3 linked regions of the Oryzias latipes genome follow. The protein of the gene in region 1 interacts with the protein of each later gene in a pairwise test. Links are inferred from orthologs where the notes say so. Each region holds a gene or a part of one and is shown in the gene's direction. Other genes may lie near its edges. The genes, in order: bend7, nkapd1 and probable global transcription activator SNF2L2.

Evidence for each region.
Region 2: the proteins of bend7 (region 1) and nkapd1 interact in binary tests that used the Homo sapiens proteins (3 or more experiments, as listed by UniProt). The two-hybrid records come from large-scale screens. The link is inferred for Oryzias latipes from reciprocal best matches to the Homo sapiens genes BEND7 and NKAPD1.
Region 3: the proteins of bend7 (region 1) and probable global transcription activator SNF2L2 interact in binary tests that used the Homo sapiens proteins (3 or more experiments, as listed by UniProt). The two-hybrid records come from large-scale screens. The link is inferred for Oryzias latipes from reciprocal best matches to the Homo sapiens genes BEND7 and SMARCA2.

What each region holds. Positions count from the first base shown.
Region 1 is NC_019864.2:20,636,007-20,639,760, reverse strand, and holds the start of bend7 (BEN domain-containing protein 7), read left to right. Parts: upstream 1-1,068; 5' UTR 1,069-1,341; coding exon 1,342-1,405; intron 1,406-1,769; coding exon 1,770-1,835; intron 1,836-1,913; coding exon 1,914-2,267; intron 2,268-2,441; coding exon 2,442-2,558; intron 2,559-2,634; coding exon 2,635-2,987; intron 2,988-3,426; coding exon 3,427-3,534; intron 3,535-3,754.
Region 2 is NC_019871.2:11,390,270-11,394,023, reverse strand, and holds the start of nkapd1 (uncharacterized protein NKAPD1), read left to right. Parts: upstream 1-947; 5' UTR 948-1,055; intron 1,056-1,359; 5' UTR 1,360-1,367; coding exon 1,368-1,436; intron 1,437-3,603; coding exon 3,604-3,692; intron 3,693-3,754.
Region 3 is NC_019867.2:1,061,493-1,065,146, reverse strand, and holds part of probable global transcription activator SNF2L2, read left to right. Parts: intron 1-899; coding exon 900-1,029; intron 1,030-1,104; coding exon 1,105-1,488; intron 1,489-2,610; coding exon 2,611-2,709; intron 2,710-2,800; coding exon 2,801-3,047; intron 3,048-3,396; coding exon 3,397-3,523; intron 3,524-3,654. UniProt on the Homo sapiens protein: ATPase involved in transcriptional activation and repression of select genes by chromatin remodeling (alteration of DNA-nucleosome topology).

The sequences.
Region 1 (3,754 bases):
CAAGGATATGAAAACAACAACCACAAAGCTAGAAAGCTTTGAGAGAGAGAACTTTTAAATTATTCCTTAACAAAATTCCGTTTTTGTCCTAGCAAACCACAGCTTGTTTGTGTTAAACTTTGTCACAAAAATTGGCGAAACGTTACGGGTTCCGTAAGATAATGGCAACTATTTAGAACTATTTTTTAGTCAATCTCATTTATTTAAATGTTAAGCCAGTTTAGTTCATCTTTTGGAGACCGGGGGGGGGCAATTTTACTTCATCTGTGTTGAAGTAACTTGATTGAAAGTAACTTAGAAATCGTGCAATCCGAATTAATAAAACTGTTTATTTTTGTCAAACTTTATACACAATCTATCTCGTTTAATGGTGGTCGTTCTTGTCCATTCCTGCTTTGATATTGTGTTGCAGACCCTGCTAGATCGGCTAGTAAGTCACGTGGGTTTTTGCTGCTTCTATTTGTTTCATTGTGTCCATCATTTGTCCATAAGGTAAAAAGAAGTGTTGGCTGATATGAACATCCCATTTACAATAACTCAAAAAGCCTGAAAGCCCAAATTAAAACAAATAATTTTAAGTTCTAAATGATGAATTCAGAAAACTATACTGCGAACCAAAGCCAAAGAAATCTCTTTATTATTTGAGCTACTTTTCTAAAAGGTTTTTTTTTTGTCAAATTGAAATCCTGTGGTATGTCAGCTGCTTTAAAACAGAGTAAGTGTATTCATTCATTCACTTTTTCAAAAGTTTCATTTTTCTAATCAAATCAAGCTTTACTTATAGCACTTTACAACTCGGGTCACCCAAAGTGCTTTTATTGTTTGGCATTATTTATTACGTTTATCTATATTTTTGAGTTTTCTGCTCCAGCTGTCGAATGTCCGGCTTTCAGTTGTCTTTTTTTTATCATTGCCGTTAAACCAAATAGAGGATATTTAATTGGGGAAGAGAAATGAAAAACAACGATTTGGGTTTAGACCGCCTTTATTTAAACGCTGGCTTTTGTCTGAAGTGACTGGCAAATATGTGCCGACCTTTTTAATGAAACATGCCATCAGGTGGCGCAAAGGGATATAACCAATTCTTATATTAAAATCATCAATTCATTTACATGACCAGAGGGAGGGTCGGGGTAGTAATATCGGGGGAAATGGATCCACTCAACAATATTCTTCTGTTTTTCGGGCTGGGAATCTGCTGGTGAAAGGATCGGACGCGCTGACTGGGAGGAAATTTAACTGTTTAATAAGGCAAACGGACAGACGGTGATTCCACTCAGGGTTTCGGTCCCTGGCTGGTCGTTCTGAACGGCGTATTTCAGCTCGACCTGCGGGAAAAAGATGGAATTTGGAGAAAGAAGGAGAAGGAGGAAGTCGCAAAGCTTCAAACTGGTCGCAGATGAAGGTAAGCTGCTGAATGGATGCAGGAGACGCGTGTCTGGCTGGCTGGCTGTGTGTCTGCTGCTGTGCGCGTAAACAAAAGCGGCGGCCACGGCATGTCTGGGTTTGGAGGGTTCAAATCGTCATCCCCAGCTTCTATGTGGATCGTGACAATGAAGGATGTTCTGATCTGTTGCACATCCAGAACAGGAGCGCAGGATGTTCACCTTTTTTAAAGCTGCAGCCTCTCTCGAAAACTACTTCATACAACCTACAGGTGGTGGTTTCTGCATGAGATGGGAAGGGGGGTGGGGGTGTCTGCTTTTGTTGACAGTCATTGCGGCTTTTTTACACAAGTTTACAGCAACAACCTTTTGTTTTACTTGCAGACCATGATTCTTCACTGAATTCCAGCAGCAAGGATGGCAAAACTAAAGATGCAGTTGTGTCTGATGGTATGTGTCAGATTGAGCATTGATTTGTCACTTTACCATTTCTATACCTGCGCCCACACCCATTTTTCCTCAATGCAGTTTGGCTGGAAGATGAAGGTGTTGAGATCAAGAGGCAAATCACAGGAATGATGAGGCTTCTGAGGGACAAGACTGGCCGAGTGTATCAGCGTGTTGTTGCAGATTGTGACGGCACAACAAATGATTCCCAGGATAAGCATCTGAGTTGGATTCACCAGCCTCCATTCCTGTCTGTGGTACCAGATGACCATCAAGGCAACAGCTGGCTGTCAACCGGACACTCAGAGCTTTCTGTGCCATCCCCATCTATACCTGTCCCCAATGGTCCAAACTATGGCCAGTACAGCACTCGCTCCAGATCCCTCAGGATTTTCAACAAAACCAAGGATGTGAGCAAAACCAATGAACAAAATGGTAAAACAATAAACAATCTGTGAAAAATCTATTAAAATTGACATTAAAGTAGGGTTTTTTTTACATTTAGTAAATCAAAGACAGCAATTCAACCATTTTTTTCCAGTCAGAAAGTCCACTTTGCCAATGTTTGCATGGATCGTATCACTCATTAAAGCACCTCTGCATTTCCAGATGTGGCGCAACCTGCAGTCCAAGAAAGCTCGTGCTGTATGTGTAACTGTACAGGCACTCTAGAGGCTATATTGCAGGAATTGCGTGCCATGAGGAGGCTGATGCAGACTCAGAAAGGTCAGAAAATGTGGCCAAATTGCACTGGGATAAACATAAAGAAGGCATAACAGGTTTTTGTCTTTCATTTATTTAGCATCCTTTGGAAAGCATCAACAAGCAACACCAGTATGCCAACCTCGCTTTAGCCTGGGCTCCACTCCGCGCAGTCTTCACAGAAAAAGAAAGTCTTACTACAGGGTGGCGCCTCTTACTGTCTCCAGCAGTAAAAAAGTTGTTCTTTCTCCTGTGGAAAGTTCAGCGCATCAAGCTGCACCACCAGCAGAATCTGCAAAGAGGGAAAAATGTGAGAAACTGGACTCGTCAGTGCTGAACATGCATCCCATTTCCCCTGATATTTCGGCACAGTCACAACAGAATGATTCAGGAATAGTGAGCAAAATTCATAATCCTACCTTAAGCCAACCAAAAGAAACTCAAGCATCAGAGGTAAAACCTTAATTTGTTTCTCTGTAAAGTTTGTTGCAAAATTTCTTAGAAAGTTTAGACTTTGTTTAGTTTGTTGATTTAAGTTTAATGTTTTGCTAAATTTATCAAAAAACAAAAATGTAAAGTAATTGATATAAATTGTTGAACAGAATAAGAAAGTTGCTTTTTTTAGAACTTTTTACAAGACACACAAGATCTAAAATTTCTGTAAAGACTAAACAGACTCCAAGCAAAATGTCATGAGACTGGCTTCTTTCTGAGTTACACCTGGTGTAAACTTTATCTTTATTGAGCCATGTAAAATGACCTTAATGTATTGTTGTACAATGAAGTCTCAACCTTTTTGACTTCAGTTCTTAAACCCAGTTCTGAATTTCAGTTGTTCATTTCTGTTTAATTTTTGGAACGACTAATTGTTTTGTTCTGTATTCCATCACAGAGTGAGGTCCGTCTTGCAGAGGAATACGACGTGTTTATATCTAAAGCTCAGCTAGATTCCATCTTGGTCAACTACACCCGCTCTGGCAGTCTCCTATTTCGCAAACTGGTATGCATTCAGCTAATTTGGAGCCCTCTTTTTTTTGTGTTATTTTTAGTTTCTATTTTTTAAATGACTATTTCCATTTTTTGATCCCAAAATATCTGGCAATTTTCTGTTGAAAGGCTCACTTTGATCATCTTTTGAGCTGTTTAAAAGCATTCTCAATGGTCTTTTAATTATGATTATGCAGTTTTTAGCCTTAATGCAAAATACCTGCGTTGTTTTC
Region 2 (3,754 bases), on another chromosome or scaffold:
GAATGGTTAAAGAGCATGATTGGAACAAACCACAACAATGCTCAGGCTTACAGTGATGCTAAATGTGTTCTGTTTTGTAGCGTGTGTCTGCAAATGTAAAAATTGTATGCCAAGATGAAACTCAACACAGTAGACCAATAAATATTGCAAAATGTAATGAGTTTTCTCAAGCTTATTCGCTGGTCTGGAAATTTATAAGATAAATTATTATTATAAGATAAATTAATTTCCCCATTGTGGGATTAATAACGTCATCTAAAAACAGAGAAGTAGTCCTTTTTTTTTCATTTTACATGTTTAATAGTTCTTGATTTTAGAAGAGATACTTTTTTAAAACAATATTTAATGTGTAATATCACTTCAATCCTCCTTTGGGTTGTACCTTATTGCAAAAGCAGTTTGGGTTTTATAGAAAATAATGAGTTTTGCCATATGGAATAAGGAAATTGTTTATTTTTTTAATTAGGAAGAAACAGGACTCCCAGACACTGCAGCAAACAGGACGGAGGAGGACACAGTGATGACACTTAATTGAAAAGAAAAAGACTGTTTTGTTAAACAATCTTTGGCGGATGAAGAATTGAAATTTCTGCTGCTAAAAATATAATGTTGAAGGGATGTCAGGCAAAAATCTGCACGTCACCAAAACTTCAATTAGCACCGGCTATACAGTTTTTATGCAAGTCTTCGTTTTGTTAGTTAGTGTGACAGATATTGTCCTTTATTGGATGTAAACAAATACGAACATATTTATTTACAGTTAGATAACGTACTGGAGTATTTTTTAATTCATTTATGAAAAATACATTGATAATCCCCAAGGATTAATACTACTATTACTACAACAAATATTATTATATTAACTTTTTTTTTCCCTTTCAATTGACTTGATACAATTTTACCGTGGGTCAAATCTTACAGTTTTATTGGTTACCAATTTGATTGATGTGTTCCTACGCCAATCATCATTCAGGCTCTCTTTCTTTTCTTTTTTTCCCCCAGTGACGTAAAATAAGCGACAGGCAAACGACTTTTCAGCGGAAGTACTAACAGAGGTTAGCCAAAACGATTTATTCCTCTTAACTTTATAGTTTCACGAGTAAATTATTTAACGTACGTTTACGATACGATGTTACAGATTTTTAATTATGTAACTGTTGGCTAAATTTAGCTATATTGATCATAAACAGATTTTGGGTTGAGAGGAAAGCCGACAGTAGCTAGCCAACTAAGCTAGCAGGGGAGACTTTCGAGGAGCTATGGTTTCATGGTTGCGTCGCGTTGAAATCATTTTTTATTTATTCTCGTACTTCTCCTGCCTGCACTGTACTTAGTGTTTCATATGGGTCCTTATTTCAGGTGTCATCATGTCAAAGCAGCCGGCGGGGAAGACCTTGCTGCGGAATGTCATCCGGCATACAGATGCACACAACAAGGTATGTTCGTTGTTGTGTGTGTTTGAACAAGAAGCTAAATCCCCAAAACAGCCAAAAATGTTTGGTTTTGCGCCTAAGCCAAACATTTTTGACTGTTTACTTAGAAATTCGGTAGCTTTCGAATTATTAGCCTATTTTAGATTGATCGCCAAGCTGCTTAGGTAAATTTTCTGGAACAAAATAATTAGACTTTTATCATATCGTGTCACAGAGATGACTTAAAATTAATAAATTAAAAACAATAATTAAAAAGAAAAACAATTTAGTACCGTGTCGTTTAAATTATTCACTGTGCATTTTATTTGAGATTATATGAAGCACAGAACAGTGGCAAAAGAAAAAATAAAACGAATTCAAAAATACAATTTCTCTCCAAAAAGCTAGTCCGTTTTTGTGACCTCACTGTGTGGAAGGATACATAGTAGCTCTACGTTTTTGATTTGTCATGATTCCTTTATCATTTACAGATTCTTCCACACATAATGCTCTAACAGGGCAGGACAAATATAGAGACTCCTAACATTTACTAACTACCATATCTGAATGTGTGTAATATAGTATACTCGCCACTGTAATGTAATTTTAACAATGGATAAAGATATGAGGATTTTCTGTTTCATTTTATTAACTTGCGACACACATTTGTAATTATTGTTATTATTGTTTTTTTGTATTTGTATTTAAAAACCATGCTTACCCTTAGATACATCATCACTATGCTCACAAAAAACTATTTTTTCAGCGTTTACAAGTCTTGGCAGATTTGATCATTTTGAGCTTTAATAAATAAAGTTCATTTCTGTGCCATTGAGTAAAAACTTTCAACTCTCAAAGATCTACAGAACAAGGACTAAACACCAAAAAAGTTAGCAACTGAAAAAATAGAGAAACAACTAAGAAAAGTTTGACATATTGTTGCAGAATATGGTATATCACTGTGTTGAAGTTTCAGTTTATTACAGTGTGATCTGCTGTTTATGGGCTGTAACTTCTCTGGTCTCTAAAGTCATGTTGACTCTTTTTGTGTGTGAATATCCTGTATCAGCAATATATATATAGACATATATATATATATAGACATAGACTTGTATATATATTTTTTTTGTTCAATGCTAAAGTTTTCACAAAGTGATTTAGTGACATAACAAATCCCACAAGTTCTTTTGAAAGTCTGACCTGGCAACAAAAGTATGTTAATACTGTAGGTAGAAAATGTCAAATCTTGGGAGTTTCTCAGACCGACCTTCAGATGGAAACATTAGAATTACACCAACTTTCAGTCAATGGAGAAAAACTGGAGATTAAAAAAAAAAGAAGGCTAAAAACTAGAGCTGCACGATATGAGGAAAACTCTGGATTTTAGTGATCAATATTGCGATGACGATATAACTTGTGGTACATGAACAAAAAGCAAAACAACCAAATACATCATTTCCATTTCACTGAAACAGTAGTTTTATATTATATAAATATTATACATTAAATTATACTCCAAATGACCCTCATCTATATAGGAGATGAACATCTAACTTCAAAGGGCTTCATCCGATTGGTCAACATCGTGATGAAGTGCATCTGATTGGTCAAATGCATAAATGGAATTAGTTGATTCGATAAATTCTTCAAGCTTAAGCTTAAGCCATAAGATTTTTTTGGCACATTTAAGGTAAACATTTATTGCAATTTTCTCCGTCTTTTGCGATATGATATCACGATAACAATAAATTTGTGATATTGTGCAGGCCTACTAAAAACTGTTCTTTGAGCTGGCTGTGGCGGTTTAGATTTACTTACATATGGGAGGATGGCTCACTGCTTTCCAGGTGCTTCTCTTTTCAGCCCCACATTTTGAAAAACGGCAGTTGTTTAAAAGCCTCATTTCTTCCATTTTTTTGGCCTGAAGACTGCACTGTCCTGTTGGATCTTTCTATTGTACTGCTGATGGGTGTTGACGGAAAAATCAATGCTATATCAGGTTCTTCAATAAATTGAAACAAATCGCTTTGGGGTTTTCTCTTTTTCTTTCCTCTGAAGTGTGTAGTCTATCCACTCCATTAATGAAAAGCACACAAAAAAATAAAAGTGTTGCCACGAGACTGTCTTCGTGTAATTGTGTGAATCCAGGTGTCACATTAGGTGTTTCTGCACACATCATTGCTTCCTGCAGATCCAGGAGGAGATGGAGATGTGGAAAATGCGAGGCTGGGAGATGCAGATGTCCCATCCGAAACAGCTGCCGTTCAAAGACAACGTGAGGTAAACGCATTTTACCTTCTCCTTGAGCGTTTTTTAAAGAACAGTCTCACCACATTTAATGA
Region 3 (3,654 bases), on another chromosome or scaffold:
TACAAGAAATGACGCCAAACCCACACTGCTGCTGGACTGACGCGCCGTGCCAGACGCTCAAATCTGCAGGACCCATGAAGGAGGAACACGGGCTCCTAATGTATGTTATAAAGTCTGCCACGGTACAGGCTACTGATCTGGAAAAAAAACTCTTCATGTTGAGCAATACTCCAATGTTCTTCAGTAAATGTTTGACAAAGCATCAGAAATGTTCCAGAAGGGTTTGGATGAGGAAGGATCGGTGACGGACATCCTTCACCCGCGGGGCTGGAGGTGGTTCTCAGAATTCTGCGGATTCGTGGCTGTCTCTGGTCCCTGACCCCCACCAATATGGGGGGAGTACTGGCTCCACAAACGGTTATTTGTTCTGAATGTGTTGTTAGGCTGAGACTGTCCGCCTGCTGTTGAAGAACCATCAGTTTAGTTCAAACAATAGTTTTTCCCAAATCAGTCAAGTCGTTTAGAGTTTTGTGAAATGACGCCTCTGTTACTCAAAGTCATGCGTGAGTTTTTTTTCCAACACGTCACATTCCAGATGTGTAAAAGTGTAAAGCTGTAAAACCTGCTAAAAATGTCCAGATGTTGCAGCTGACAATCCCACCGTGTTTGGCTGACTCTGTCTGAGTGATTTATGTCTAGTTTGATTTTCAAATCACAGCCTGAAGAAGGTTTACTGATCGTGTCAAACGTTTGGGTCTAAATGAATGAATGATTTTAGCATAATTTACCCAAAATGTTTGTGTTTTGATCCACAATCAAAGAAAAGGGATTTCATCTTCCACAAATGTCTATAAAGGAAACATTTTTCCGGAAGAGCTTTGATCTTCTAACTCAACGTTCCCTATATGGCTACCAAGTCTTTAATATTGTATAATAACTGGGAATGTTTTCCTTTCCAGCCCATGGAGGCCATGACTGACAAGTCAATGACAGAAGCCATGCATTTTGGGCACATGAAGGGTGTGGGGATGAGATCGCTCCACAGCGGGATGGGTCCTCCTCAGAGCCCCATGGACCAGCACAGCCAAGGTAACGGGTCTGAACCGGACGCACCATGAGTCCCATCCATCCACCATGCTCCAACGTGTCACCATTCTCTTCAAGGTTACATGTCTCCACATCCTTCCCCCATGGGAGTCCACGAGCACGCCTCCAGCCCCATGCCAGGAGGTGGAGGTGGAGGTGGACCCACGCCGCCGCACATCCCTCCCTCCCAGTCAGGTCCCATGATGCCCATGGAAGGAGGCATGGCCGGCATGGGCCAGCAGGGCCGCGGACCCTCTGCCTTCAGCCCGGTCCAGCTGCAGCAGCTCAGAGCTCAGATTCTGGCCTACAAGATTCTGGCCCGCGGACAGCCGCTGCCCGAAAACCTCCAGCTGGCCGTTCAAGGCAAAAGGAGCCTACCCACAATGCAACAGCAGCCACCGCAGCAGCCACCGCAGCAGCAGCAGCAGCAGGCGTCGAGTGTGAGCCCCTACAGACCTTCAGGTGAGGATGAGGAAACAAAGGTCAAACAAAAACAATGTAAAGACACCATCGTTAAAAAACAGGCATAAAAAGGAAAACTTACCAAGAAAAAGCCTGAACTGAAAGAGGGAACATACAGTGGAGGTATGGGGGGGCGGGGCTGTGGAACACCTTGTAGGTAAAAAGCAGGACGTTTCCCACCTCCATGAGCACAGTTCTGGGGTTTACAGCTGTAGAGAAGGTGTGGAGGGACTCCTGTGGAACGATCCCGGAGCGCTGGCAGGTCCTCCTGGTGACGAGGTGGAAATCCCACGGAGCTAAAACTGGAGCTCAAAACCTTTTACTGTGATTTGGTTTGTCCAGGTTTAAAAAAGTTCAAACGTTAAAGATGTCATCATGAAGAGCAGCAGCAGAATCTGAAGGAAAAAACCATCATTTATGGCAGGAGTTCTGTTCTAAACCCGCAAAAGATTTGAGGCAGTAAAACGTCTCACAACAGACGTTCTACACTTTTCCCAGACAGACACCAACATTTTCACACTTTTGTTTTAAAACTTTTATAGAAAAATACGTCCAGGATAATAGAATGAAAGCAAAGCTCTGATCCCAGTCAAAGATTTATGTTTGGTAAACTGAACATATTTCACGGCGCAGAGAAGCTTGATTGACAGCCCAGAACGCAGTGCGCTGTTAAAAACACAACAACAAAAACAGAATTGCTCTGAAAAAAGCAGAGAAACGGCAAAAAGTGAACCACAATATCACGAGGGAACTCTGTAATGTTTGCAGTCATCTTTTGGGTTTTACATCCAAACTAATGTGACGGGGATAAAAAGTCTGCACATTCATAATTCTGATTATCAGTTTATTATTTATAGGATCCCCGTTAGCTGTGCTGAGGAGGCAGCTGCTCTTCCTCATAAAAATCCCCAATGCTATTTAATGTGAATCCCAAAAATACACGATGTAAACACGTAAAATTCACATTTTAAATATCATAAATAGAGTTCCTGGACCCTGAACCGTTGTGCTTTAAATCAGTCACACCATCAAAATCTGGATCTGAAAATATGCGGCTCCAAAATGTGACCTCAGTATTTTCATGGAAAAACCAAACTCATCCAACATCTGCTTCTTCCAAAGGGATGCCAATGGCGCAGATGGGCGGCCCCCAGGCCAGCCCCTGCCCGGCGCCTGCCATGCAGGGAGCCAATCAGAGTGCAGCCAAGCCGTGGAGTGATGGTGAGTCTGCTTCCTGCCGGCCTCGGGTCTTAGCGGTGAAACATCTTCTGGCTAAGCAGGCTCAGAAAAGTTGAAGGTCTTTGTTTGACAGGTGGAGAAAATCAGGCCCACGTGCAGAAACACCTCACCCCCGTCTCCAGCGGGCGTCCCTCTCCCGCGCCGCCGCAGACCTCCGCTGTGCCTCCGGGGCCGGCACTGAGCGGCTCGGCAGCTGGACTCCCACCGGGCCAGCAGGTGTCTCCCATGCTGCAGATGCAGCAGAAGCAGAACCGCATCACTCCCATACAGAAGCCCCAGGGCTTGGACCCGATGGGGATCCTGCAGGAGAGGGAGTTCAGGTATGGATGCGCTCGCACACCTCCATGATGCTTCCTCAGTGTTTACAGTGGAGGTTGGTGACCATTTCCTCCAGGAACTCATTAAGTGTCATGCAAAGTGCATTCATGTCAAACGTTCTCAGTTTTCTGAGGTTGGGAGCGTTACTATGGAGGCTGTTTGATCCGTTTTCTCATTAAAGACGTGTGACGCGTGAGGCGCTTTATGTTGTTCATCAGACTCAAAGCTTTAGCTTCTTTTTCATGTCATAGTCACCATTTCAGCATTTCAGACTGGCTTTACTGTTTGACTTATTGTGTTTTAGTATCATTAGGGTTATTTTACCACATCTGTCTTTATACTGTTCTTCAGGCTGCAGGCTCGCATCGCCCACCGAATCCAGGAGCTGGAGAGTCTACCGGGGTCTCTGCCTCCTGACCTGAGGACCAAAGCCACTGTGGAGCTCAAAGCGCTCCGTCTGCTCAACTTTCAGCGGCAGGTACGGCAAATATGTACCAAATATTTGCTATGGATGTTAACGTAAAGCAGAATGTCAAATCATCAGAAGCCGGCTGACGCTGAAACAGTGAAACTATCAAACAGGCTGACGCTGAAACAGTGTAACTATGA